Linked DNA regions of Pelodiscus sinensis. The protein of the gene in region 4 interacts with the protein of the main gene of each other region in a pairwise test. Links are inferred from orthologs where the notes say so. Each region holds a gene or a part of one and is shown on either strand. Other genes may lie near its edges. The genes, in order: RBPMS; FHL3; heat shock transcription factor, Y-linked-like; GCM2.

Region 1 (7,104 bases), on a different chromosome or scaffold from region 4:
AAAAAAGTGAGGTGGGGCTGGTGAGCCTGACCTGGCTGGCCCCAGAAACACACTGAGAGGAATTAAGCAGAGTTACCAACCCTCCTGAAATGCGGCCAGGCAGTAGGTGCGGGGTGTGCTTTGAGAGAGGCCTCGCCTCCCGGGCGTGCCTGCCTCTGCACTCCACTGCATGGAGACCCTATGTAACCGCACTGCCCTGGCAACGCACAACAGCATGGGCCTCTCCCCTGCTCACCCTGCCATGCAGTGCTTCCTGGAACGGGCGTATGGCACTCCCCTGCACTGCTGCTGTCTGGGTGCTGTCCTGGGATCCCCCAGCCGGGCAGGGCAGGCAGTGCCAGCCAGGCACACAGCCCCAGAGCGCCCGGGGCAGGGCAGTGCCAGCCAGGCACACAGCCCCAGAGCGCCCGGGGCAGGGCAGTGCCAGCCAGGCACACAGCCCCAGAGCGCCCGGGGCAGGGCGGGCAGTGCCAGCCAGGCACACAGCCCCAGAGCGCCCGGGGCAGGGCGGGCGGTGCCAGCCAGGCACACAGCCCCAGAGCGCCCGGGGCAGGGCAGTGCCAGCCAGGCACACAGCCCCAGAGCGCCCGGGGCAGGGCAGTGCCAGCCAGGCACACAGCCCCAGAGCGCCCGGGGCAGGGCAGTGCCAGCCAGGCACACAGCCCCAGAGCGCCCGGGGCAGGGCGGGCAGTGCCAGCCAGGCACACAGCCCCAGAGCGCCCGGGGCAGGGCGGGCAGTGCCAGCCAGGCACACAGCCCCAGAGCGCCCGGGACAGGGCAGTGCCAGCCAGGCACACAGCCCCAGAGCGCCCGGGGCAGGGCGGGCAGTGCCAGCCAGGCACACAGCCCCAGAGCGCCCGGGGCAGGGCAGGCAGTGCCAGTCAGGCACACAGCCCCAGAGCGCCCGGGGCAGGGCAGTGCCAGCCAGGCACACAGCCCCAGAGCGCCCGGGGCAGGGCAGTGCCAGCCAGGCACACAGCCCCAGAGCGCCCGGGGCAGGGCAGTGCCAGCCAGGCACACAGCCCCAGAGCGCCCGGGGCAGGGCAGTGCCAGCCAGGCACACAGCCCCAGAGCGCCCGGGGCAGGGCAGGCAGTGCCAGCCAGGCACACAGCCCCAGAGCGCCCGGGGCAGGGCAGGCAGTGCCAGTCAGGCACACAGCCCCAGAGCGCCCGGGGCAGGGCGGGCAGTGCCAGCCAGGCACACAGCCCCAGAGCGCCCGGGGCAGGGCAGGCAGTGCCAGCCAGGCACACAGCCCCAGAGCGCCCGGGGCAGGGCAGGCAGTGCCAGTCAGGCACACAGCCCCAGAGCGCCCGGGGCAGGGCAGTGCCAGCCAGGCACACAGCCCCAGAGCGCCCGGGGCAGGGCAGTGCCAGCCAGGCACACAGCCCCAGAGCGCCCGGGGCAGGGCAGGACGGTGCCAGCCAGGCACACAGCCCCAGAGCGCCCGGGGCAGGGCAGTGCCAGCCAGGCACACAGCCCCAGAGCGCCCGGGGCAGGGCAGTGCCAGCCAGGCACACAGCCCCAGAGCGCCCGGGGCAGGGCAGTGCCAGCCAGGCACACAGCCCCAGAGCGCCCGGGGCAGGGCAGTGCCAGCCAGGCACACAGCCCCAGAGCGCCCGGGGCAGGGCAGTGCCAGCCAGGCACACAGCCCCAGAGCGCCCGGGGCAGGGCAGTGCCAGCCAGGCACACAGCCCCAGCAGCGCGCAGGGGGACTCAGCCCGCACACGCTGGCTGGGGGCTCTAGCTGGAGCCGAGCGGCGCGGGGCCACGGGAGCTGAGCGCTCCAGGGCACCACGAGTCCCGCCGGCCGAGCCGCCCTGCGCGGCGGGGGGCAGCGGGAAGGCGCGGCCCCGGAGGTGGCGCTCCGCGGCCCGGGCGCCGTCCCCGCAGCGGGCGAAGGCGGGGCCCGGCCGGAGCGGAGCAAACACCTGAGTGAGCCCGGCGGGGCGGCCGGAGCGCCCGGGACAGACCGCGGGCACCTCCGGAGCCTCCTAGCTACTCCCCAGCCCCGCTCCCCTCCGGGATCCGGCCCCTACACCGCTCCCCCCGCCCGGCCCCCCTACACCGCTCCCCTCCCCGCCCGGCCCCCCACACCGCTCCCCTCCCCGCCCGGCCCCCCTACACCGCTCCCCCTGCGCCCCAGCCCCGCTCCCCTCCGGGATCCGGCCCCTACACCGCTCCCCCCGCCCGGCCCCCCTACACCGCTCCCCCCAGCCCCAGCCCCCCACACCGCTCCCCCTGCACCCCAGCCCCCCACACCGCTCCCCCTGCGCCCCAGCCCCCCACACCGCTCCCCCTGCGCCCCAGCCCCCCACACCGCTCCCCCTGCACCCCAGCCCCCCACACCGCTCCCCCTGCACCCCAGCCCCCCACACCGCTCCCCCTGCGCCCCAGCCCCGCTCCCCTCGACGCCCCGCCCGGCCCCCCTACCCCGCTCCCCTCTAGCCTCCCCACACACCCCGTCCCGCTCCCCGGCCCCCGCACCTCCTGCCCCGCTCCCCCCAGTAGCCACACTGCCCGCCCGCCCCCCCAGACCCTGTGCCCCGCTCCCCCGGGGCCCCGTCCCGCACCTCGTCCTCGGGCAGGCTGGGCTCGGCCGGGCCGCTGTCCTTGTCGGCGGGGAGGCTGTTCATGCTGCCGTCCCGGGGCGCGCGGAGCCGGCTGCGGAGAGGCTGGTCCCTGCCGCTGGCAGCAGCATCCAGGCGGGGCGGGCGGCGCTGCTCTGAGCCCCCGGCGGCCCAGCCCGGCCCGGCCCGGCAGGGAGCAGCGGCGCGGGGGCGGGGGCAGCCAGCGCGGCCGCCGCTGGGGCAGGAGTCCGGGGGCCGTGCGCCTTGCGCGCTCCGAGGCCAGCGCCTCCCGGCCCCCTGGCGTGGGGACGGGGCGGGGCCGGGTGTGGGGCCCTGCGCGCCCGGGGCCCGCTCCCTCGTGGGCTGCCAGTCACAATGGCGCAGCCCCGAGGGCAGCCTCACCGCCGGGGGGTGGAGGGTTCTGCTGTTGTGGCCACTCATTCAGCCCCTAACCCTGCTCCCTTGGGCACCAGCCGCCAATGGGCCTCGCCCCCTGGGGCCCTGGCACCTCCCCCCCATGTACTGTTCTAAGGCACCAGGCACCCGCCGCCAATGTTGCACATCGAGGTGCCCCACTCGCTAGAGCAGAGGTGGGGAACCTCAGGCCCGTGGGCCGGATGCAGCCCCTGAGGCTCAGGGCTCCCCCCCCCATCAGGGAGTCCCTGCCGCCCCACCATGGGGCTTGAGCGCACAAAATCTACCAGGCCAGGGCCCCCTAGACTCTGCCCAAGGAGAACGTGGGGACTGTCTGTCTCCTTCTGAGTGAGCCCCCCATCAGTGAGGGTTGCTCAGGTGTGTGGGGGCTCAGGTGTGAGGGCCTCCCCAGCTGCCATTGGTCAGGAAACAGCCAATGAGACTGCAGATCTGGTGCCCGGGGTGGGGACAGTACATGGAGTCCCATGGCCACCTGGCCTAGGAGTTAAACCTTCTGCTGGCCGCTTCCGAGGGCCCAGTACAGTTTCTGGTGCCAGGACAGACAGGGGGCCTGCCTCAGCACCCTCACTGGCCACCCTACAGCACGGCACCCCAGTGCCTGGCATCCCACGACCCAGCGCTGGGCTGCAACGTGTACTTTGAAAATCACAGGATCACATTATAAGGAGCAACTTTACATTGAACCAACTTTGCACTTGTTCTGAGTTTCTCCTCTTGCATCCTGAGCAGGAGAGCACTGGTGCAGTCCTGGGCTATGCTGGATCTACACTGAGCCCCACTGAAGGCTGGGCACTCCCCTGACAACAGGCTATGCCTCCACAGATCCCATTGCAAGATCTAGCCATAGCCCCCCACATTCACATATTACTTCCCCCTTACCAATGTTCCCTCTTTTTCCATACCTGTGCAGAATAAATGTTATGTGCACCACGTCACGAGCAGCTGTGCACCCATCAGTAGAAACACTTGCTGTGAGATCTCTGCTAATGAGCTGGGCTGCACCTGAATGTCTCCTGGATTGCTTTCAGGAAACACTGATTCGCAACCCCCCTTGGTCTCAGCTCAGCCCATTGAGTGCAGTCCAGAGGTGACAGTAAGCAGGTGTGCCCGGGTGTGCAGCTCCAGCAAGGAGCTCTGGAAAGAGCTGGCAGGGACCAGGTTGCAATAGGACAGTCCCTGTAAGACACTGTCAGTTGGTTTCAACGCTGGCAGTCTGAGCTCGGACCAGAGTGGCTGTGCCGGAAGCAGGGCAGAGGAGAGACTGGACAGTCCCCCCGCACTCCAGTGCCCTGACACCGGGGGCAATGGAGAGAGTCCCTCAATTGTCAAGGCCGAAAGAGGCACCTCATTGAAACTCAGCCGGCCCCTGCAGAAGAGAGAGATGTCACACAGCACAGTCCCAGCACTGGGGTGGGGACAGACAAGGGTGACAAATGGGCCCGTGGGCTCCCCCCCAGCATACAACATATGCCTCTTTCCCTAGAGGGGTACCTATCCACCCTCCCAGACCCCTTCCCAGCACCCAGCTTCCTTGGTACACTGGTGGCACTTACAGAACTTGGCCAGCACGGCAGATACACAGGGCAGCACAGGCTGTCTGTCTCCATGCGCCAGGGGATGCTTGAAGGAGGGTCCAAAATGAAGCATCTTCCCCGACCTGTGGGTGTTGCTTTGTTCCCTTAGAGGTGACTGTTGGGGGTGACCTGCCCTGGGCCCCAAAAACACACTACTCTGCTTTATCTTGAATACTGCATACAGATGTGGTCACCACATCTCAAAAAGGATATCTTGGCACTGGAAAAGTTCAGAAAAGGGCAAAAAAAATGATGAGGGGTTTGGAACAGATCCCATATGAAAAGAGATTAAAAAGACTGGGACTTTTCATCTTAGGGAAGAGGAGATTAAGGTGGGGAGGATGATAGAGGTATAGAAAATCATGACAGGTATGGAGAAAGTAAATAAGGAAAAGTTTTTTACTTGTTCCCATAACATAAGAACTAGGGGTCACCAAATGAAATTAATGGGAAGCCGTTTTAAAACAAACAAAAGGAAGTTTTTCTTCATGAAGTGCACAGTCAACCTGTGAAACTCCTTGCCAGAGGATGTTGTGAAGACCAGGAATTTAAGGGTATGTCTAGACTACATGTCTCCATTGACAGAGCCATGTAGATGAGTTTACTAGACATAGGAAAATGAAGCGGCGATTTAAATAATCACTGCTGCATTTACATCAAAATGGCCACCATGCTGTGCCGATCAACTGTTTGGCGGCACAGCGGGGCAGTCTGGACGTGCCGCGGTCGATGAGGGAAGCCTTTGTCAACCGCTCCGGTAAACCTCATTTCATGAGGCATACCGGGGTGGTCAACAAAGGCTTCCCACATCGACCGCAGTGCATCCAGACTGCCCCGCTGTGCCATCAAAAAGCTGATTGGCACAGCGCGGCGGCCATTTTGATGTAAATGAAGCAGTGATTATTTAAATCGCCGCTTCATTTTCCTATGTCTAGTAAACTCATCTACATGGCTCCGTCGACAGAGCAATGTAGTCTAGACATATCCTAAGGGTGCATCTCCGCTGCACCCTTACCTTGAAATAAGCTACGCAATTTGCGCTAATTGTGTAGCTTATTTCGAGGTAATTTCAAAATAGCTTATTTTGAACTTTGGAAATAAGGTACTATTCCAAAACATCCCTTAACCCTTGTGGAACGAGGTTTACAGGGATATCAGAATAGCGAGCCCATTATATTTCAAAATAATTGGCGCGCTCAAAAGACACAGATTAGCTATTTCGGGATACTACCGAAATAGCTTTGCTGTGTAGATGTAGCCTAACAGGGTTCAAAAAAGAGCTAGATTAAATTCATGGAGGTTAGGTCCACCAATGGCTATTAGCCAGGATGGGCAGGGATGGCGTCTGTTTGTCAGAGGCCGGAAATGGCTGACAGGAAAGGGGTCACTTGAGGATTCCCTGGTGTGTTCCCTCGCTCTGGGGCATCTGGTATTGGCCACGGTTGGAAAACAGGCACTGGGTTGGATGGACCTTTGATCTGACTCAGCGTGGCCGTTCTTATGCTCTTGTGCTCTTCTCTCTCACATTGTGTGCACACGCTTCTGGGGCTACCTCTCTTATTGCACCTCTGCACAAATGGACGAAAGACAATTCGCATCCCATACAAAATATTTCTCCAGGCCTAATGCAATCTCAGGCCCAAGCACATGGCAGTATGCTGATTGGGAGGGGGGTCGTGTGTGTAGGACTGTTATGAATGATATGCTTGACTCAGGGCTAGCCTTACCCATATGCAGAATATGCAGCTGCGTAGGGCCCCCAAAAATGTGGGGCACCAGTGGGTCTTAATATCCACCCACCTGCCTCTTCTTAGCGCTGTTCTGTGACTCCGCTTCTTCCGGAGAGGATCTAGTTAACGTAAAAATGAAAAAGCCAGCGCAGTTAACAGACATTGAAACTGTGAAAGAGCCATTCAAGGGAGAATGAAGTAACTGAACAGGCATTTGTCAACTCCAGGTATATACTGTCAGGTTCTGAATTTACTTTCATTCGGGTGTTGCTGAAGTGTATAAAATTCACAGCTCTAAAAGTTCTCCCCCCCCCCCGCTGCTTTGGGGCGTAGGGCCCCACAAGTCCTGAGGACAGGCCTGCTGCGGCTCGGAGTGGCTACCCCACAGGCATAGAAGGGTTAAGCAGCTGCAGTGGGGCAGAGCAGGAGACGCGAGGTGTGTCTCTTACTTCCCTGTGCTGGCGGGAGGGGGGATGAATGGGCGGATTGTGAGTGCTCTGGCTGAAAGGACCCCTAGTGAATTGCAGAGAGCTGCTCCTGCCCTGTTCACTGGCTGGGCAGGATGCCTCTGCTGTCCAGTGTTCCCCGAGCCGCACGGACCACCTGGCAGGAGTGCAGGACGCCTGGGGCTCTATGGATCACAAGGGGCAGGGGGGAGGGCTGTGTCTGCATGGGCAGAGGCTGTACCACTGGCTTCTTCCATACTGTACGTTCAGCGAAAGGGTCGGCTTCACCTTGTCTCTGGGCTCTTTCACTAACTTTCAAGCCGTAGCGTCCTATGGTCCCCTGGCTGCCTT
Region 2 (7,828 bases), on a different chromosome or scaffold from region 4:
GGTCTGAGGCAGGCTCCCCCCATGTGGACGTGCCACCTCAATTTAGAGCCCCAGGAAGCATTGGGAAGTAATTACTTTGAATGGCCTGGAGGAGGAGCTATTTCAAAATAGCAGCAGTGGAAAATCCACACCTATTCCAAAATAGCTATTTGGGAAGAGGCATAATTCCTCATGGAATGAGGTTTACAAATGCTGAAATAAGATACATTTGCCTCCATTATCCTAGTTCTATTGTATGTCATGTTTCAGTGTATCTAACATATCAAAATTAGCTGAACGCTTGAAAAGTTATTTCAGAATAATGGGCGTTATTCCAAAACACTGCTAGGCTGTGTCTACACTGGGCCACTTATTCTGGAAAATCAGCCACTTTTCCGGAATAAGCTGCGAGCTGTCTACACTGGCCCTTGAATTTCCGGAAAAGCAACGATGCTCTACTGTACAAAATCAGCCGCTATTCCGGAAAAACTATTCTGCTCCCGCTCGGGCATAAGTCCTTATTCCGGAACACTGTTCCGGAAAAGGGCCAGTGTAGACAGCCCAGTAGTCTACATTGGCCACAGACGCTTTTCCGGAAAAAGGGCTTTTCCAGAAAAGCAGCCTGCCAATGTAGACGCTCCTGTTCCGGAAAAACTGAAAATGGAATAGTATTCCGTTTTAAGCATTTCCGGAAATTTATGCTAGTGTAGACACAGCCCTACTGTGTAGACGTGCCCTAAGGTGCCACTGGACTATTCGTTGTTTCTAACTTACTGAGAACTTAAGTCCATTGAAAGACTTTGCTTTTATCTTATAAGACCGTTGGATCTTACAAATTGTATGGTACATTTTGTTCTTTTGATGTTAAGTGCAAGATATCCTGCCGGCAGGAATCTTCTTCATTCTGGTCTGGATTTTAAGCAAGGATCCCAGTTCTATGAGCTAGTTAGGATAGGCCCCAAAGAACACAAGATGAGTGGGCAAAAGTGGCTGGTAAGCCCCTAATATTAAAATGCTTTTGTGACACATCCTCAGAGGATGTAAATCACAATAGCTCTATTTTAAGTCAATGGAGGTATATCAGTTCAGAGCCTCCGAGGATCTGCCCATTGCATGTTAAAAAAGAAAAATCCCATATTCAAGTAAAATTCACATTGTGCAACGACCGCCTGGCCTTTATGTCATGCACAAGATGAACAAAATGCACTAATTCATTCTTTTGTCTGCGTTTACATGTCAGAAATGGGTGATAGACAAAACCTTTGGAACATAAATTAATATGCGATTGACCTAATTAATTTAGAAAAAGGTAGAAAACTAAGATTTTGTAGAAAAATCTAATTTAATTAGATTTGTACAGGGCAGCTAGCAGCAAAAGAAAACTGCTGCATATGGTTGCCAAGTCTCCTAGAAAGGACGGACAAGATACCATTTGCAGCAATGCTGTCCGGTCCACCTAAGTTGGCAGTCCTCCTGTTGTAGGTCTTTGTGAACTGACTGGTGTGCTAAGGGCTAGAAATAATAGGCAGAGGAATGACCCTTCTGAAGCAAAATCCCACAGTCTATCCAGATCTATTAGATAACCAGCAAAGCTTTTACAAGAGACCCATTTGTTCTTAGATGCTCCTGTTCACTGTAAAGGAGCTGAAGAAACAGTCTGGCCACAAAGCACTCAAGACCCACAGCAATTCAGCAAATCAAAGAGAAACACAAAGATAACTGATGCATCTGACAAAGTGGGTCTTTGCCCACAAAAGCTTATGCTCCAATACATCTGTTAGTCTATAAGGTGCCACAGGACTCCTTGTCGCTTTTGCAGATCCAGACTAACACCGCTACCCCTCTGATACTTGAAAGATAACTGAGGAACTGTAACCAAGGAGGAAGTGGCTAGATGCTTCTTGTATTTACATTGTTAAAATGATTTACAAAAATTCCCATTTTTCAACTGTGGCACTCCGTGATTCCTGGCTTGATGAGCACAAGCAGCTCCCAGCAGGTGGTGCCGCAGGGCAAGCGATAGAGGCGATGGATTGAGAAGTTTTCAAATTCCCTTTAAGGGAAAGGATTTGGTGCGGGAAAAGTTTCACAAGGCTCATTCCCTTTCCAGAAGCCACTAGCTGCTGCCAAGATTTCCCCAAAGTACAGCAGCTAGTATATCTCTCTGATGACCCTCAGAAAGAGAACACTGAGCAGAGCAGCTCCAACTGAAAACTACTGCTACTGTGACATTTTATTATATGTTGTTTGCAGGTTTGTTTCTAGCCATATTGGTCCCTGGAAATTAGAAAAACAAAGTTGGGGATGCAATATCTCTTATTGGGCCAACTTCTGCTGGTGAAAAAAGACAAGCTTTCAAGTGACACAGAGCTCTTCATATTTTCTTTGCATATAAAGTTTAAACTGAACTTAAATTAATTCCCTGGTTCATCTACCATTTTTATATCTGCCTTCCTCCCTTACACAACTCTAGGTTGAACTTTCTTCCTATTTTAAGCAAAACCATTGGGTATTAAACTGAACTGATTCCAAAACAAGCTGAGAGTTTGGGTCTTTAATCACTGTCTGTATGTAAAAACAAAACTTAAAGAATAAAAAGAGACCTTATCCATTCCTTGTCTCTTAAGGAGAGAGTGCTACTGTACAGCAGGTACACTATGTACATGTCCACTTTCTCCAGAGCTGTAAATTAAATGGACATGTTTTGTAAGGCATATTGGAAAACAAGTATGGTAAAAATTGATTACAAAAATTAAGAGTGAATGAACTCATGAATAAGGATCCTAATGTAACTTAAATTCCTCCTGTGGTCTTAGAGAGAGAGGTGGTTTTCTGGCCTATTGCAGAACTGAATTTCTCTGGAAGATAAATTGGAATATTTTCATAACTGTTTTTGTCCATGCTTTGCAAATAATTCCAGCTAAGCCTCAGCTATTACTCACCCAGGGCTATTTATGCAGTGTGGTAAGCCTATCTACTTGGCTTGGAGCAGAGACTACTTTAGGGAAATATTATCAAAGGCTGTGAAAGAACACAATATTACCAACCTCACACACAAACCATAGCCACGGGGAACACTATGAAATCCAAATGTAGCTGTTTTGAGTATCTCACAAGGAATGGCAGGGTAATCTTCCCACACACATTACTCTCTGCCTGTCCATTTCTACACTTTTACATGCTCACCTTTTGCAATGGTATCTGCAGGGTTTCATCTAAGCTCTGCTCAGCTGGTCCCCCTCAAAAAATCAAAAAGGGCAGAGGCTACCTAGCCCATTCCATATCACTAGGATGACTTCCCAAAACATGGCCAGTACACACTGGGAACTAAGACAAAGATGTGAACTGGAGGGTTGGGGGGGGGGGGGGGAGAAAACTGAGCACAATGAGATGGTAACAACTTTCATAGAATACTAGAACTAGAAGGGTCTTTGAGAGGTCATCAAGTCCAGTCCCCTGCCTTCATGGCAGGACCAAGCACCATCTAGATCATCCCTGACAGATGTTTATCCAACCTGCTCTAAAATATCTCCAGTGATGAAGATTCCATAACCTGCTTAGGCAATTTATTTCAGTATTAAACCACCCTCACAGTTAGGAAGTTTTTCCTAATGTCCAACCTAAACCTCCCCTGCTGCAGTTTAAGCCTATTGCTTCTTGTCCTATCGACAGAGGCCCAGGAGAACAATTCCTCATCCCCCTCCTCCCTGTGACACCCTTTTAGTTACCTGAAAACTACTATCATGTCCTCTCTCAGTCTTCTGTTTTCCAAACTAAACAAGCCCAATCCTTCAGGTTTGCTTCATAACTCATGTTTTCTAGACAGACCTTTAATCATTTTTGTTGCTTTTCTCTGGACCTCTCCAATGTCTCCACATCTTTGTTGAAATGTGGTGCACAGAACTGGACACAATACTCCACTTGAGACTTAATTAGCACAAAGTAGAGCAGAAGAATAGCATCTCATATTTTGCTCACAGCACTCCTGTTACTGCAGCCCAGAATCATGTTTTGTTTTTTACAGCAGCATCACACTGTTGACTCATATTTAGCTTGTGGTCCACTATGTGGCTGCCCCCTAAATCCAGAGATTCACTCACTCCTGAGCTGTGGGCAGATTCAAACCTTGGCCTACAGGTGACATGGGCTCAGCCCTAATCCCTGCAGGCCCTAGTTTACGGAGGCTGCTTAGGGTGTATTTACACTGCGCCCGGAGCTTGAAATAAGCTATGTCATTTGAGCTACGCAAATTGCACCGCTTATTTCGAGTCAATGTTGACTTAACGCTTTTTTTCTCACCGAAATTTGGCGCTGCCTACACCGCACTTATTTTGAAATAAAAGGCTCTTCCGAAACGTCCCTTATGCCTCGTGGAATGAGATTTACAGGGACGGCAGTAGAGCGAACCCGTTATATTTCGAAATAACGGGCGCGCTCAAAAGACGCGGGATAAGCTATTTCGGGATGCCCGAAAAATTGCGCTGCAGTGTAGACCGGGCCTTAGAGGAGTTCAGGAATCGGGGAGGAAAGCCGTGGGTTTGATCCAGGTCTGGAATGATCCAGGGCCAGAGGTATCTGCGCATCAGCGCCTTGTGGGCGTTATTTAGTCTGTCCCTAAGTCTGCCAGTCCTTACGGTGCTGGGGGAGAGGGTCTCCAGGGTTAGGCACGCTCTTGTGCCAGTGAATACCCCCGGGACTTTGCATGCCCAGTACCTCCCCCCCAGCCCGTTCCCTGCCTCGCTCCCCCCCAGCACCCTGCCTAGTGCCTTCCCCCAGCGCCGGCCTCGCCCCCTCCGGGCCCTGCACCCCCCTCCCAGCCACAGCAGCTCCGCCCCGCGGGCGGGGCAGGGGCCGGGCTCAGTTTCCCCCGGCGGGGCTGGGCTGGCCCCTTCCGCTGCCAGCGCCTGTCCAGCCGCGCGGCGGGTGAGGAGCAGCCAGCGAGCCCGGCTCGACTCGGCCCGGAGCGTGCGGAGCAGGTGGGGGCGCCCCTGGGGAAAGGGGTTCACCTGGGGGTGGGGAGGGGTCTTTGGGGAGACGGCCCCCCCCCAGCTGCGGAGCCCGGCCCGGGCTGGAAGTCGGGGTGTCGCCTCCCCGATGGGCAGGCTCCTTCCAGCTCCCGTGCCCAGCCGCCAGCTGTCCGGGGCAGGACGGTCCTGGTGCCACCCCACGCGCTATCCACAAGGGGCTGCTGCCCCCTTGCTGGAGCTGAGCCCTCTGCGCTCTCGTGGGAAGGTGCAGGGCACCGGGGGGTACCGCTGCCTTGTGCAGATCTGTGCCCTGATGTGCTGTCTGGGGCCATGGGCAGCAGAGGCAGCGAGCGGCAGGGTCCTGGGGGCGAGGGTTTTGGGAGCATGGGCAAGGTCTGGAAAAGTCCACTCACGCTTCTGTATCTCCCCGGAATATTCCTCATCACCCAGTGATGCTTTTGCTGTCTTGTAAACACCTCAGGAAAGGGTCCGTGCCTCCTGATGAATTGTATAGAACTAGGGGCGCTCACTGAAGATAGAGACAGTCCCCTTCCTTGCAAAATATTTGGGCCAGGAGCAAAATACAGGAGCAGGACATTGGTGTGCTAGTGCCCTTCTTCCAGCTCTGTAAATTGGGCACCGGCAACAAAAAAAGGGGAACTCCTATCTCGGTATGTGTGTCTTCACAGTGCGGGGGGTGGGGGAGTAGGCAGTCTTTCTGACTTACAGAAATGCTTCCTCTTTGTTTTGGGATGCTAGGAAGAGGCATTTTTTCTTTGTTCATCCTTTACTCTGCCTAGTGGAGTTCAAATCGCATGTAGAAGGTGGTAGGACTTGCAAAAGAATATTCACCAGTTGAAAGTAGGAAACTTTCCCTTCCCCGTATATGTGGGGGGGGGGGGGAGGAGGTGTTGGAGGGGGCTAACTCATCAGCTTCTGCAGAATCTAAATTGTCATTGTGTTAAAAAGTTCCTCCTCCTTTTAGCAGTGAAGAAAACTCTGTAAATGTGAGTCTTGTGTCAGACAGCTACAGTGTTCCATAGCTGCTGCTTTATCTTGGACTAAGCTTTTAGAGCAATTAACAAGACTCGAGACAGTTTTTCAGAACTGTGATCAAGGGTGAACTCCAGTTGGCAGTTTAAATTGGGGAAGCAGCAGGGGAGAAGGATCACAAAAACCAGGCGCTGAGGGAGGGGTAGAATATCAGAGGGCCTCTCTTCTATTACTCAGCTGCCAGAGGTGAGCAGGGAAAGATGGGGAGTTGGTTTCAAATGTATCAAATCCATAATAGCCAAATGCTGATACAAAGCACCTTGGTAAGAATCTCTGCACTCTTTTCTTTCCTAGCAGTTGGTAAAGGGAACTTAAAGCTCATCACCTGATAAACCGTCTTGTTAGTCTTTAAAGTGCTACATAGTCCTGTGTTTTGTTTCATCTCTTCCCAGGCTTTGTTTGCACTGCAGGGTTTTTGTGCAAGAAGCTTTTCGCGGAAGAGATCTTCTGCCAAAACTTCTTGCGCAAAAGTGTGTCCACACCTCAAAAGCGCATCGCAAAAGCGATGTGGTTTTGCACAAGAGAGCATCCACACTGCATGGATGCTCTTGCGCAATAAAGCTCCGATGATCAGTCACAGAATGGCCATCAGAGCGCCCGTGCTTTTTCTGATAGGCTCTTTTGGTGCAAGAAACCCCTGCAGAGCATACACATGTGCCTTTTTGTGCAAGAGCTGTAGTGCAAAAAGGAGTTCTGCCTTGAGGGGAGAGGAATAACTCTACCTTGCTTGAGGTGTGGACACTCCACCATTTTTTGCACAAAAATGGCCAGTTTTGCGCCAAAACCTTGTAGTGTAGATATAGCCCCTCTGTTTCCATACTAGCTTCTGGTTAGTACATGTCTACTTAACAACTTCAAGCTCTGTGTTTGGAGCATATTTCACAAGAGGGCTCTGAGGGTAATTTTAACTGTTGCAGAATTTCACTCACATCCATTCCAGAGCAGTGAGTGTTGGTTTATTTCCTGTTACCCACATGTTTAATGCTACTGACTCTGGTTTTGCTCTTTCAAAGTGTTTTCACGTGATTTTAAAGTTTTTTTTATTTTTATTCTTTCACATTTTTGCAAAACGGATGATTACCTGTGACACTTTCCTTCTTGGAGTTTGAATGACTTCAGGGAAATGTAACCAGGGATGAATTTGGCCCCAAATGTCTAATCCGTTAATTATAATCTGTGTTTCTATCCAAGGGTAAGTTCTCAGTTAATTATTCACTTTTTATGAATTGTAATCGTGGCACTGCCCAGCCCTAGCAGAAAAAGATTGGAAAGGAAAATCCTTTTAAGGTGAGTTCCCAGTGTAATTTTCTTAAAGAGAAAGTGTAAATTAAGGGCCAGCGGGGTCACAATGCTTTCATTTTGCAATAAAAGGAAGATGACTACAGTGTGGACATCTGGATTTGTTTTTTGAAATGTCCAAGAAGCTTTGTGGCATTTTCTGAAAGAAATATGAGAAAGGGGAGTATTGTGCCTGCTCTAGTGGAATTGTGCTGGTTAAAGTCCTGAGCCTTAAACTTCATCTTTAATGGAAACAGTCCTGAAACAAGACAACAGACTCAAAAGCTAAACGTAAACCAAATGCTTAAACTGAGTTACTTTGAGAAAGTGTTTGTAGGAGAGGAGGGGGTGGTATTTTGCACGCATCCAGATGGCTCAGTGAAATCAAGACGCTTTGGCTTGCCTAAGACTGGTTATTTTGAGGCCTCAGTTATTTGGCTTTCTAAAATTCACCTGGCCGTTTCTTTTAAACAAAGACAACAGAGAGTTTGCCGCTTTAAGCAACAGATCAGTATCTATTCAAAACATTGTTTTAATAAAAAACATTTAAT
Region 3 (7,609 bases), on a different chromosome or scaffold from region 4:
GAGAAAGCAACTGGTGGTGTATTTTTGATGCCAACTCTTCTTTTACATCTTACAAGGAGGTGGGGATAGCCTCTCTTAAAATTCGGGTTATGGTAGAACTGTAACTAAATAAAGCAAGGGAAAAGATTTAATCACCTCTATGAGAATAAAAAAAAGTCAAGTGCACATTCTGGCTAAGATTTTTGCCTACATAAAGCAAACATTAATATTGAACGGACACTGGCAAACAATTTTGGCCCCAATTTTAAGCTGCAAAAAAGATATGATGAAACAGAGGTATTTTCATTACATTTTAAATCAGTGAAAATTCTTTGAATTTAAACATTCTCCTGCAGCATTGTGTTTAACCTCAGGAAATGGACCTGAATAGCTTACTTTCACTGTAGAAGCCAAATTAAGTGCAAAAAGCAAACATGGCAGAAATGGTGAAAGGTAAATTTGAAATTTAAAAGGTGTTAGAAATACAGACAGGTAATATTTTAATGGATTATATCTCTTAAGTGGGTCTAGTATCGAAACTAAAGTTTAAACAAAAAGGATGGATATTATCCGACAGTAGGAGACTTTCTAAAGCATGTAAAAGATTTAGGTCCAGAAGTACAAGTCCCCTTGACTTTTAGTAATTTAGATAAAAGGCCATAAATGTTCAAATAGTAACACATGGCTCATATCCATCTTCCTAGCATTCAGCAAATGCCAGTGGGAAAAGAAAGCAATGCAAACCTAGTACCAGAAGTACACCAGTAACCAGAAGAGAGAAAGAGAAGGGGGCTGAGAGGATTTCTGTTTCACTGGCTCAGGCGAGCAGGGAAAAACCCACACTGAAATAGTCACTTCTGGGCAAAAAACTAGTATTCACATTTTTTTACTCATTCATGAGAATACTTTGAGAACTATGGATGTCAGAATAGCCTTCAAAACCCTCATTCCTAGATTCTCTTCATGAGCATAAAACTTTTGTGCATGCAAAAAACCCTCATTAAATGTATTTCAGAATAGGCATCTTTTAAGCTTTGAGAAACTATACTGGCATTTTACCTTGCTAAAAGCAGATGCTGCTTTTTCTTCTGCTAGAAATTCAGCTAGTGAGGCAGACCTTTGAAAATCTTGCCGCATTTTGCTAAAGCCATAGAGATTAAGCTGACGGATGAAACTTTTCATGCAATCAGTTTCAAAAATTCGCAGAGGGCCTCTCCTTTCTAGCACCTCCTTTTTAAAGAGCTCTTCATCAATCACTACACAATTTCCATCATCATCCCACCAAAGTGACTTAAATTGATCACTTTCAACAATTTTCCATAGTTTCTTTGGAAAGGTGAGGGATAAAAAATCATTGTCTTCAGTGGAATTATCCTCACAGAGAGTAAGACGTGGTCTTTTTACCCATGGTCCATCACTCAGAGCTTGAAAAGCATTTTCTTCTATTATAGACCTCAAGGCAGAGTCACCAGCTGCTGTTTTATCACACAATGGAATAGCAGAAGAAATTGAGGTAGCAGAATCAACCATTTCATCCTGAGCTGAAACATGTAATGTTTCTGCTATAGGAAGGTCCATCTCCAATCCTTTATCGCTTTGACCTTTTTCAGTTGTAGCCATTTATGCTATTAGTTGAGCTTCATGCTCCTAGACAGTGGTATATTAAAATGATGCTAGCTTAAAGTGAAACTTCAGTAGAGAGTTCTAGAACATCATAATGATACTTGTGGTGTGTGGCTGTGACATCATAAAACAACTGGTTTCCTAGCAAATTGAGGTAATAATGGCCAGACAAGTCACTAAAGTGAAAAGCATTTAAATATCATTTACGAGAGATTAGATCTAATCTATAAAAGCTTTGTCTCATGATGTAAATAAGGCATATACTAACTGGACATAGAGCACCGTACCATCCATTCCTCCCTCTCCCCACAGCAGTCATTCCACAACAGAGCTGAGGGAAGCTTGTACTGCTGCGGTTGTTGGGAATAAAGGAAGAAATTTATTTGCCTAGTCTTTCCACTGAGCCTCTTTCACTAGTGAAGAATTCCCCACACTGTGTTCTTGCCATCAGACCCTGGCTGTATGAAAAAAAAAATAGGAGTACAAGTATTTAAATTACATACACTGTATATAAAAATAAGAATTTACAATTCCATTTAGCAGCTGCAAAGGAGACTGTTCCCTCTGGTCTCTTGCAGAACCCTCTTTCTGCTCCAAAGACTGGGGAAGGAGGTACTGGTAAAAGGCAGAAGGAAAGAATCTGAAAAAAAGTCACCACAGGTTGATCATCACTGCCCATCTTCTATGTGATAGTAACATTACAGAGCAAACCAAGTCACCTGCCAGCACTTGTCACAGGGATAAGAGAGAGAAAGAAGGGGAGAAAGGAGATTGTCTATTAGATGTTGACTTCCTATTGGTTCTCCCTTCCAGTGAGAATGTGGGAATTCAACCTACGCGTTTTTTCGGCTGCTCTTTTCCAGTAGGGTAGCCCAGTGGACAAATGGAAGGCCTTTTACTCCCTGGGCCTCTCAAGGAGGTCGAGCAGAGCATGTTCTCAAGTCCAAGTGGACAATGATGGTGGGATATAAATGCATTATTAGGAGGCTACCTCTAAACCCCAATTTTGCTGCAGTAGATGAGGAACAGTGTGGCCTATAATGAACTATCTTCCACCACTGAATGCCCATTACCGGGGAGACTGGGGATGGATGGGGGGAGAAACGGGTAGATGGAAGAATAAAGGCAATGCAGTAGGGAGCACTTGCCTCACTAGTATTACAGTTGTCAGAACAAATATATTCCCTACTTCTGGCATAACTAACTGTGGCTAGTGGTTATAGTGAAGAGATGAGTTTCCACATTCCTGTCATTCCTGTATCAACCATTTTTTGAAAAACAGTACTGATGGATATCAGAGTGTATACTTATCACTGAGTTGTAAGAGCAAACACAAGCATCTCTTTGCCAAAGAGAACAAACTACTGTAACATGAATTTCAGATTAATCTCACTAACCTACAAGCATCCTCAGTAGAGGTTTGGGAAAGAAAAAAAAACCCACCCGTCACCCCCCAAAATTCATGACAATGTCAAAGTAAACAGAAACTTTTCTAGAGAATTTACTAATTTAAAATGGCACAGCTCCTTGTAAAGGGTTTAATAATTTGGACTGACCTGTGTTTCACAAAAGATAGGGTAGTTTATGCAACAGTACAGTCTTGGTATTTATGTCAGCTGTAAAATTGATGACAATCTACAAAATCTGAGCAATTAAAACAAAGTATAGATTTTCCACATAATATAGGAAAAAATAGTTTATTAAACAGCTGAAGGGGCTAATAACTAATAATGTGTTGCTTAATGGTAAAATATGACTACAGAACTTGAAGACGCAACACAGTTAACATCTACCCCCCCACCCACAAGTCAGTGCAACGGTTGTGATTATTTACACAATAATTTACATTGAGTCAAAATCATGTAAGCTGTTATACATTCTATATAAAACAAAAGCCTTCAAGTCTTGCCAGAGAAGTGCAATGCTCCTGTGCCTCTGTAGTTAAAGATAGTGTTCATGTCTGAATAGGAAATGACAGGTAAAGACATGCCAACGCATATATCTAAACAACATACAGCAAGAGAGGCCAAATATATACTTAAGACTTGAAAGACATCCTCTGTAATAGTCTATGCATTTCATACAAGTTTTTAAAAAAATACCTTTACATAATATTTATACTGTACAGAACTAGAATTTGAACAGAATATATTACATTGCTACAATGTTCGTATAAATACTATACAGCCAGGCACATAACCAATCCACTAGGAAGGTTCACCGATTAGACAACCACCTATCTTCAGGGACAAAAGATCATAACACTAGGAACACAATACTTAAAATGCTTAAATGAGGTGTAGAAAAATCTGAATTTGAGTTACCAGAGGTCATGTTACAGAATATTAAAAGTTTTCAATGCCCCATGCACTACAATTGATATACTGGATTAATTTCTCTGGTAATGACTTTATAGGTATATTTAAAAAAAAAAGATTAACTAGTGTTCCCATTTGGATTCACTACCATGAGATTAAGTAAATATGGAAAGCTCCAAAAGAAATCATTTAAAAATCTCCAATGTAATACATTATAAGCCACTAACTGACAAATACCTATCCTTAAAAGAAATTAGAACATTTTTTGAGATGAAATACATTTGGTTGTTTATTCCTAGTTCCAGTTTTGTTGTCAGTTGTCCATCTTCTAAATTCGTTTTAATCTGGCACATCAATGCTTAGCTTGGGAGGTGGAATAACGTACTTTCCAGGACTTTGTGTAATGACCACTCCAGTCTTTTTTCGGAACATTGGTGCAATTTTGGGAGGTTCTGGAACAGGTGTTTCTTCCATTTCTTCATTATCTTCGTGATGAAGATCATAGGAAATATTTCCATATTCTCTCAAGAATGGGAAAATTTCAAGTAGAAATTGACAGAAATCTTTGCGAATTCCAAACCACCCTGGACAAATCCAAATTAATAGTTTCAGTTTTAATCAAGAAGGAAATTACACTTTAAAACCAAGTACTCATTTCATTTTTATACTAAAATCTTTTATATAAATATTGTTTATAAATAGTTAGACACTAACACATGGTGCTAGTGACTCAGTAGATAGTACCCTTCCATTAATTAATCCCACAGCATGGCATACAGAAGTATTTTACCTGCTACAGGCAAATCTTTCACATAAAACAAAGCCAACGTCCTGACTACTTGCAATTAAAGATTCCATGATATCCTTGTCAAACAGATATTAAGATTGGTGACCGGTTGCCATATTTCACCTAGATAAGTTCCAACTGAAATGAATTTAAGTACATTTGTTTGTTAAGCACATGGGGTCCATTTGGAATGACCGGGGTTATGTTACCTAACTCATACTCATAAAATAAAAGTTATACAACACACTACTAGATCTACAGCATATAGCCTTAAACACTAAGCTAATGTTGTCATCAGCTACACTGCAAATGCACTGTGGTCACAGCTACAGGTGAAGACTGACTTGTGCCCTGTAATGTTCCACCACTCTACTCTTCCAAGCACAAAGTTGAGGAGGCAATTTAGGCTCTAGACTTAAAAAACAAACAAAAAACCCCACACAGGTTTAAAAAGTTATATACAGTAAACTTCCGATAATCCGGCACCTTTGGGACCCAGGGGGTGCTGGATTATTAGATATGCCGGACTATCGGAAGGGAGGGCTATGAGGGGTCTGGGGTGAGGGGGGGGTACCACTCCAGACCCCTCATAGCCCCCCCTTCCGATAGTCCGGCTCTGCCCCAGGCGTCCCTGATTCAGCCACTGCTGAAACTGACCAGCAGCGGCTGAATCGGAGACGCCTGGGGCAGAGCAGCTGGAGTGCTGCCGGGTTGGTCGGGGTAACGCCGACCCTTGGCGCAGCGAGACCAACCAGGCAGCACCCCAACTGCTCTTGGGGACGCCTGGGGCAGAGCAGCTGGGGTGCTGCTGGGTTGGTCCCGCAGCGCCGCTCCTCGGCGCTACTGGATCAACCCGGTAGCACCCCAGCTGCTCTGCCTCAGGCGTCCCCCCAAGTCAGACGTTGCTGATACTGATCAGCAGCTGACTCAAGGAAGCCCCCGCTGGTCAGTTTCAGCAGCAGATGACTTGGGGATGCCTGGGGCAGAGCAGCTGGAGTGCTGCTGGGTTGATCCAGTAGCGCCGAGGAGCGGCGCTGCGGGACCAACCCAGCAGCACCCCAGCTGCTCTGCCCCAGGCGTCCCCAAGTCAGACGCTGCTGAAATTGACCAAGAGCTGACTCCAGGAAGCCTGAGGCAGAGCAGCTCTACCTCAGGCTTCCTGGAATCAGCTGCTGGTCAATTTCAGCAGCGGCTGAATCAGGACGCCTGGGGTGCTGCCGGGTTGGTCCCGCAGCCCCCAGGGGCAGCGCTAGGGGACCTACCCGGCAGCGCCCCAGCTGCTCTGCCTCCGGCTTCCCCGATTCAGCCGCTGGTCAGTTTTAGCAGCGGCTGAATAGGGGAAGCTGGGGGCAGAGCAGCTCCAATGGTCCGGCTGCGGAGCACTTCCGGGTTCCTGATGGTGCCGGATCATCAGGAGTGCCGGACCGTCAGATGCCGGACCAATGGAGTTTTACTGTAACTAGCAGAAACACAGTTAGAAGTCTGATGTTAAAGTAAACATATCAGACAAAAATCTTAGGTCTGGGGAAGAAACCTATGCTGGAGATGCTTTGATGAAACAAGTAGCTACAGACACTGAGAATATACTAGCTGAAAAGAAATTAGTCAATACTTTCATGATCAAGTCTTCACAAGGCCCTTTTTAATACATATTGGTAAAGAATATGAAGCTAAGATATTCCTTATTATAGGGCTAAATCCATTAAATATTTTCACACCACCATTATTTATATACCAACTCCTCCAAATCAATACAAGAACTCATATAGCAGCTGAATATGAAAAAATTACTTATGATCTAAGAACAAGTTTAAAAAAAGTCAGTGTATGTTGTGATTACAGAGACATAAAACAAGACAATTCAGTTTACAATAATAAATAATATAAACTCTTTCAACTATAAAAGGATCCCAAACGGTTTTTATAATATTTACACACATTGCATCGTTAAATAAAGCTACCCTTGGAGTGGAAGTCACAACTAACTGCACATTGCTATTCTGTGTTCTGGTTGAAGGAGAAAAAATATTGGCTAAGGACATCAGGACAAGCCCATCCGCTTACAATACATGCTATAGGATCTTCAGCATACATAACAGGAGGGGGGAAAAACCCTACCCTCTACACAATAAAAAATAAACCATATGAAACACAATTTACTGTGGAAGGATTAAGGACTGAACTAATTCTGTTGGACTTTGACATTGTGATTCCAAGAAGCTAAGGGGTCAAAATCAAACTTAGATGGATTACAGAAAGACACTCACAACAAGGGATACATACACAGCCTGTGACTCATAAGGAAAAACTGTCATAAGCTGCAAAGCTTCTTCTGACTATGCCCACTGTGTTAATCTCCACCTATCTAGTTCAGAGGTGGGCAATAATTTTTAATGGGGGGGCCACTCCAAGATTTTATCGAGTGGTCAAGGGCTGCATTTCTACCAAGGCGGTCTGGAGTCTGGGACAGAGGTTAGGTGCAGAAGGGAGGTTGGGGTAGGAGACTGAGTGCAGGAGGGGGTGTGGAGTCTGAGGGGGAGTTTGAGTGAAGGAAGGGACTGTGATCTTGGGCAGAGGCTTGGGGTGCAGAGTCCAGGAGGGAGTATGGGTGCAGGAGAGGATTCTGGACTGAGGGAGGGACCCTAAGAGGTGGTGCAGGGTCTGAAGGGAGTTGTGACCTGGGGGATGAGGTGCAGAGGGTTTGGGTGATGACTTAGGGCAGGGGAAGGGGATGCAGAGTCAGGGAGGGGGTATGGGTGCCAGAGGCTTCTGGCCTAGGGAAAGGGTGTAAGAGAGGGTGCAGGGTCTGGGAGGGAGTTGTGACCCAGGGGAAAGGGAGTTTGGGTGGTGGCCTGGAGCAGGTAGTTGGGGGGCGGGGGGAGAAAAGGAGGAGTGGGCTCTG
Region 4 (7,421 bases):
GTAAACATACCCTTGGTGTGAGTAACCTATTGCAATATCAGGCACCTAATGTTCCATACTACTGAATTCTTCCACAGCAGGAAACATTCTCCAAATCTTTTGGTTTTGAATTCTATTACAAAGTCTACTTTATATTCTATAGAATCCAATAAAAGATTGAAAGTACTGAAGCTAAAGAGACATTGGGTATATAAAATCAAGGAATCTCTTCTTCCAGCTTTATCTTCTATTGCATGAGCTTTCATACTTGGGGTCACAATCACAGGATGTGTGTGGGTCAAACACAGATTTCAGAGAGGTTGAGATCAGTTTCCCCTTCTTCATAGCTAGATAGGAAAAGGATACTGAAACTTCGCTTCTGTTTTAACATTTGTCTGGAAACTTTTGAGAGTGATTTCCCCATTGGACTTACAGTAATAGCTAATTTTAAAATTATTTAGGGGGAGGGCTGTTGATGGCACTCATAAGTGTTTTCTAAGCACTTAAATATATATGGAAGCATCCAAATATTATTATAAAGAAGGATTAAAATATGACTTTGAGGTCTACTATCCTGCTCAACAAATCACCACTGTATATCCCCATGTTTAACATTTTGCCTTGCATTCAGGTGTGGTACTTCTGAATACCTCTCTCAGCTATGTCCAGCTGAAAATCATATCTCTTTGGTCCAATAAAAGATATTATTCCACCATATCTTTTCAGTTTTTAAGTAGCCTGATAGACAGATATAAAATGATATTGTCCAGTATAAAACAACCCAAACATACACAGTTTATCACTTTTAAAAGAGACCAGTCAGGTATAATTTCTTATTGTCACTGAATTAAAATACAGCGATCAGATCTCTGAGATCTTGTCTTTTTTTCAAACAAATTCCAGAAGCCACAAAAACTAAAACCAATGAGCAAAGGAACCTCACAGAAGAACAATTTTGGCGTCTTTCCTTTACAATTTCTGATTGCAGGCTGTCTACATGCCCATTCCCCATGTTCCCTTAGCCTCACCCATATAATTTGACAATAGGTAAACTCTGGGCTTTAAACCAGCTTTATTAAAACCTTTAGTCCAGAATTGATGTCTCCCAGACACAGGATTCATAAATGCCCCAGGACAGCCAGGACCATCCAGTTCTGAAGCCTGTTCAATTTAAACAAGTGCTTGAATTCTGTGTGCACAAAGTGCAGCTGTTTAGGTGAGGTTCTGGGAATGGTCCCAGTCTGACTCCTCGTTCTGGGCTGGCTGGAGCCAGGCAGAGAGCACTGCTGCAAGCAATTAAAACCATGCTTCCTCAAATCAAAGCGCCATCCCCCTCCTCTCCCTCCTACCTGCGGCAGTGTAGGGTCATTGATGTCCCAGGTGAGCTTCATCCCGTAGGAGCACATGCAGTCCGAAGCTCCGAGGAGCTCCAGCGGACCCTTGGACATGGTCATCCAAGGTTGGCAGCAGGGACCCTGCACAGCAGCAGTGTGAACACGCGAGGAGGGCCGAGACGGAATTGCCCCAGAGCAGCAGAGCGCAAGGCAGCCACTGCTTGTCTGAGTTGAGCTGCCTGTTACAGCACAACCCTGCACTTTGCCCTGTCCAGGGACTGCGGTGCTGAAAGGAGGTGGCAGCTCATGACCGCTGCACACTTTGATTCCTGCTTTTATGCGTGTATGTGACACAGGGCTCCTGCTTGGCCTGTCATCTCCCTCCCGTGTGCCTGGCTTGTACTAAACACAAGGGGAGGGGGAAGAGGTGTTTTATTTCAAGGCTGACTCCTCCCCACCAGTCACTAAGCATGAAGGAAAAGTTTGGGAATCTGAGACGCGAAGACCTCAAGGTCCTGGACCATGAGAGCCAGCCGCCAAGGGCCAAAGGGGAGCAGCAGGAGTACTACAGTACTGCAAACCCAGCCTCAAGCCTCACAGTCTGCCACTTTGCTTTTAAATTGAAACCGTCTTGTGTTTAGCCAGGAGCGCAATCATCTCCACTGCTAGGGCCGCAGGACTGCTTCCACAAGGTAGTCACACCCAGGGCATTTGTATAACTGTCTGCAACATTCACTTATGCCAAGGGAAGCCAGTCACTACCATCTTAAGCTTTGGATCTGGCACTAGGGAACCTGGGAGTGTGGCAGGATGAAAACACGAAACTACTTACACAAGTATTTTGTTTTCTATCTATTTGGTTTTGACACAAGGCTCAGGACAAGACTAACAGCACATGTCCCGGCACAATCCTCAAATCTGACAGGGCCTTTCACATGCATTAGTGGAAGTTTTTTCCTCAGATCAGTAATGCAGAATGACTCCCAGACTGTTCTAAAAGTTGACAGCTAGTAGATTGCTACTGAATGACATGTTCATACCCCCTCACCTGCACACACATACTAAACCCTTCCTCTTCCCCCCGCCCTTTGCTGCCTCTTTCTGATAGATTTCTAAAAACCTAACTCACAGAAATGCGATATTAGGACTAATAAGGAGGCCATGGCTATAATAAATAACCAAGAACATGGCTTGGCTCTTGGCTTTATAGCAAGCCTTTATTCATTGGGCCTCCAGTTCTGAGAGAGGCAAATGGCAGGCATCCGAAGTTTTGCCTGTCTGGTAAGAATATGTTCAGTATATTTTACTTTCTAGTACACACTGGTTCCTAATGTGATGCTTGTCGGGAGGTTGGGGAGAGGGGAGGAGGACTTTTTAAAATACCCACATTCTGGAATGTCTCTAAAATGCACGAGTTTACATATGTGTAAACTCTATAGTGCTGCATTTTGCTGATCTTGTAGCAAAAACTGCCCAATTTTTACCAGCTCAGTAATTTCAGGAGGGCACGATTAGGGATGTGAATGACTAGTCACTCCTCCCCCTCCTCCCTTGCTGCCTCTATCAGAAAGAGGCAGCAAAAGGCAGGGGGAAGAGGAAGGGTTGCTTCAAAGCAGCAATGCTGCGTAGAGCCCAGGGCCAGACCCTGGCCTCCACATGGTACTGCTGCTTTGAAATGCCACATGCAGTCAAGGGCCAGATTTAAAGTGGCAGCGCCACGTGGAGACCGGGGTCAGCTGGGGACTTCATGCGACACTGCTGCTTTGAAACACCATGGAGAGCACGGGGCCAGTGGGTTACTGCTTGAGTCCCCCGCTGGCCCCATGCTCCCTGCAGCACTTTCGCTTTGAAGTATAGTAACAGCCTGGGACTATTGCTACACTTCAAAGGCAGAGGCACCCTTATTGACTAATCGAATAGTTGATGCAAATTGCATCGACTGTTGGATTAGTCAATTAATCAAAGTGTAACATCCCTAGGCATGATGCATCTGTGATCCTCCAACCCTTCCAGTTTGAAGGTACTTCAAGCAATGGCAGGGGTCAGTCTCCTCTGGAGCTGCTGCTATCACACTAAGCAGCAACTAAAAACACTGTTTCATTGTAGTTATTTGAAGTTTGGCAGTACAAGGAATAGTTCTACTGCCTTTCCTTGGGAGTTTGTGAAGTAGCTACTGTGCACCTCTATCTTGGTGTGAAACTGATTCAGTCTGTTATTTCAGAAGTTCTGACTGCGAATCACACATCTGGCTGGAACCTACATTACAAATCTATTTATCCTACATTCCACCTAGTCAAACCTCTGAATGAACATTAGAGAACCATGGATGCAGGTGAAACATACTCATTTCTCCTCACATAGGAGGGAACCCAGAGGAATGCTACCAAAGGCCCTATTTGGAGAACACGGATCAGCTAAAAAGCCTGGTTTGACAATGTATTCCTTGTTTGCAAGCTGATATGTTCACAATTAAATATAATCCTTTTCTTTTCCCCATGGTACAGCGAATCATTGTATCCTGCTGCAGCTACAAAGTTTGTAGAAGAACTAAGGCTCTGCTAATGTCAGTATCTTCCTATTAGCAGAGCCAACTCATCCGGCCACTGTCCCTCAGGCAAATTTCTAATAGAAACCAATGGGAATCTGCCTTTTCCGCTATGTGACTGCTTTGCAGCTACGCAGAAGTTCCCACTACAGGAACAGGGTTGCTGCTCATCTCTGCAGCGGTTCCAAGACACAAAATTACACAAGCTGCTACTTGTATCCTCATTTGTTTAGAGGAGCTTCCTGAAAATACAAGCATGAACAGTATTAAAGGCCTAATCCAACACCACTGAAATCAATGGGGCTGTGTCTAGACTGGCAAGTTTTTCCGCAAAATCATCTGCTTTTGCGGAAAAACTTGCCAGCTGTCTACACTGGCCGCTTGAATTTCCGGAAAAGCACTGACGATCTCATGTAAAATCATCAGTGCTTTTCCAGAAAAACTATGCTGCTCCTGTTCGGGCAAAAGTCTTTTTCCGAAAGACTTTTGCGCAAAAAGGCCAGTGTAGACAGCATAGTACTGTTTTCCGCAAAAAAGTCCCAATCGCGAAAAAGGCGATCGGGGCTTTTTTTTTTTTTGCGGAAAACCACGTCTAGATTGGCCACGGACGCTTTTCCGCAAAAAGTGCTTTTGCGGAAAAGCACCCTGCCAATCTAGACGTGCTTTTCTGAAAATGCTTTTAACAGAAAACTTTTAAAAGCATTTTCGGAAAAAAGCATTTTCGGAAAATCATGCCAGTGTAGAAGTAGCCTTGGAGTTTTGCCATTGATTTCAATAGGTACAGGACAGAACCTTTATTGTGCACTATAGATCACTTGACACAATTAGGATGTATTAAAGAAAGTCAGATCACTAACCTATCATTTGAAATAATAAAATAATTGCTAATGTCATGATCATTATGATCTAAAAAGACCTCTTCAGGCATTACACATATGTGCAAAGCCAAAGAGCATGAGGCTCCCAGTGATAAGTAACAACCAGTAGTCTTAGAATCACAGAATACTAGAACTGAAAGGGACCTTGAGAGGTCATCAAGTCCAGTTCCCTACCCCCATGGCAAGACCAAGCACCATCTCATCCCTGACAGATATCTATCTAACCTGCTCTTAAATATCTCCAGTGATGTAAATCCCACAACTTCCTTATGCAATTTATTCCAGTGTTTAATTGCACTGACAAGAAGTTTTTCCTAATGCCCAACCTAAACCTCCCTTGTTGCAGTTTAAGCCCATTGCTTCTTGTCCTAACATCAGAGGTCAAGGAGAACATTTTTTTCTCCCTCCTCGTGACAGCCTTTTAAGATACTTGAAAACTGCTATCATATCCCCTTCTCAGTCTACTCTTATCCAAACTAAACAAGCCCAATTCTTTCAGTCTTTCCTCATAGCTCATATTTAATAGACCTTTAATCATTTTTGTTGCTCGTCTCTAGACCTTCTCCAATTTCTCCACGTCTTTTTTTAAATGTGGTGCCAAGAACTGGTCACAACACTCCAACTGAGGCCTAATCAGTGCAGAATAGAGCGGAAGAATGACTTCTTGTGTCTTGCTCACAACACTCCTGTTAATGCATCCCAGAATCATGTTTGCTTTTTTTGCAACAGTGTCACACCGTTGACTCATATTTAGCTTACAGTCCACTTTGACCCCTAGATCCCTTTCTGCAGTATTCCTTCCTAGACAGTTGCTTCTCATTCTGTATGTATGGAACGGATTGTTCCTTCCTAAGTGGAGTACTTTGCATTTGTCCTTATTAAACTTCATGTTATGTACCTCAGAACATTTCTCTGGTTTGTCTAGATCATTTTGAACATGATCCTATCCTCCAAAGCAGTTGCAACCCCTCTCAGGTTGGTATCATCTGCGAACTTAATAAGTGTACACTCTATGCCAGCGTCCAAATTGTCAATGAAGATATTGAACAGAACCGGTCCCAAAACAGACTGCTGCAGAACACTGCTTGTTACGCCCTTCCAGCGGAACTGTGAACCATTAATAATGAAGCAAAATGCAGGACAATGTAGCACTTTAAAGACTAACAAGATGGTTTATTAGGTGATGAGCTTTGGTTATGACTATTTTCTTCCACTATTTGATCTGAGGAAGTGGGTCTGGCCCATGAAAGCTCATCATCTAATAAACCATCTTGTTAGTCTTTAAAGTGCTACATTGTCCTGCATTTTGCTTCAGCTACCCCAGACTAACACGGCTACATCTCTATCACCATTAATAATGACTCTCTGACAACAGTTAGCCAGCCAGTTATGCCCTAAATAGGTTGTATTTCCCTAGTTTATTGATAATAAGATCATGCAAAACTGTATCAATTGCTTTGCTAAAGTCCAGGTATACCACCTCCACCCACTTCTCCCTTATCCACAAGGCTTGGTAGCCTACCACAGAAAGCTATCAGAGTGGTTTGACCTGCTTTGTTCTTTACAAATCCATGCTGGCGGTTCCCTATCATCTTATTATCTTCCAGGTGTTTGCAGATGAATTCCTTCATTACCGCCTCCAGTATCTTCCCTGGCACAAAAGTTAAATAATGATAGAAATGTAGCCGTGTTAGTCTGGGGTAGCTGAAGCAAAATGCAGGACAATGTAGCACTTTAAAGACTAACAAGATGGTTTATTAGAGGATGAGCTTTCGTGGGCCAGACCCACTTCCTCAGATCAAATAGTGGAAGAAAATAGTCACAACCATATATCCTTTGGTATATATGGTTGTGACTATTTTCTTCCACTATTTGATCTGAGGAAGTGGGTCTGGCCCACGAAAGCTCATCCTCTAATAAACCATCTTGTTAGTCTTTAAAGTGCTACATAGTCCTGTATTTTACAAAAGTTAAACTGACCGCTCTGTAGTTTTCCGGGTTGTTCTTATTTCCCTTTTCCATTCATGTCTCCTCCACAACGCATCTCCCCCGGGAAAAGAACTAGAAGTCCAGCTGGAGGTGACAAGCCGGACCCTGCTACCTCTAGCCAGCCAGCCAATCCCTGCCCCCGGCATGCTCCCAAGCCCCATGTCCCCCCGCCCCCACTCACTGCTGCGCTCCAGGCCGCTGGTGTCGGGGCCGCCCCCTTCGGGCCCCTGAGGCGCGCGGCGCATCCCGACCTCGAACGGCCAAGCGGCGCCTCTGCCCCGAGCGCCTCCTGCGCGGGCGAGGTGGGACTCGGCGTCTCCTAGGGGAGAGGGCAAGGAGAGGAGAACGCGGCACCGCTTCCGGCCGGAGTGCTGACCACTGCACGCGGCAAGGGCGTAGTGGCCAAGCTGCAGGAAGCGCACACGCGCCCCAGCCGGACAGCTGCTCTTTGCAAGGGCCGCCCTGCGGGGGCGTTTTGCTACTTGGCAGCCTGGGAGGTTGCTGCCGTTTCTCTGCCTAGTTTTTTCTATGGTGAGAGGCGGTGGGCTGCGGTAGCCAGCTAGGAGCTCAGTGGTGGGGGAAGAAAGCCCATCTCTGGGACCAGTTTCCTTTACCACATGGGGGGGACGACTGTGAGACTAAGAGCCAAGCCTGTAGTTCCGCTACGGGATTTTTTTTTGTTTGTTTCAGAATAAG

The links.
Region 1: the proteins of GCM2 (region 4) and RBPMS interact in binary tests that used the Homo sapiens proteins (3 or more experiments, as listed by UniProt). The link is inferred for Pelodiscus sinensis from reciprocal best matches to the Homo sapiens genes GCM2 and RBPMS.
Region 2: the proteins of GCM2 (region 4) and FHL3 interact in binary tests that used the Homo sapiens proteins (3 or more experiments, as listed by UniProt). The link is inferred for Pelodiscus sinensis from reciprocal best matches to the Homo sapiens genes GCM2 and FHL3.
Region 3: the proteins of GCM2 (region 4) and heat shock transcription factor, Y-linked-like interact in binary tests that used the Homo sapiens proteins (3 or more experiments, as listed by UniProt). The two-hybrid records come from large-scale screens. The link is inferred for Pelodiscus sinensis from reciprocal best matches to the Homo sapiens genes GCM2 and HSFY1.

The regions. Positions count from the first base shown.
Region 1 is NC_134715.1:5,179,113-5,186,216, forward strand, and holds the start of RBPMS (RNA-binding protein with multiple splicing), read right to left. Parts: upstream 3,018-7,104; 5' UTR 3,010-3,017; coding exon 2,572-3,009; intron 1-2,571.
Region 2 is NC_134735.1:10,806,840-10,814,667, reverse strand, and holds the start of FHL3 (four and a half LIM domains protein 3), read left to right. Parts: upstream 1-4,817; 5' UTR 4,818-4,955; intron 4,956-7,828. UniProt on the Homo sapiens protein: Recruited by SOX15 to FOXK1 promoters where it acts as a transcriptional coactivator of FOXK1.
Region 3 is NC_134723.1:41,600,533-41,608,141, reverse strand, and holds the start of heat shock transcription factor, Y-linked-like, read right to left. Parts: upstream 3,006-7,609; 5' UTR 1,600-3,005; coding exon 1,039-1,599; intron 105-1,038; coding exon 1-104. Other genes in the region: TMEM185A (transmembrane protein 185A), read right to left, coding at 4,260-4,504.
Region 4 is NC_134712.1:110,465,151-110,472,571, reverse strand, and holds the start of GCM2 (chorion-specific transcription factor GCMb), read right to left. Parts: upstream 3,003-7,421; 5' UTR 1,434-3,002; coding exon 1,329-1,433; intron 1-1,328. UniProt on the Homo sapiens protein: Transcription factor that binds specific sequences on gene promoters and activate their transcription. Through the regulation of gene transcription, may play a role in parathyroid gland development.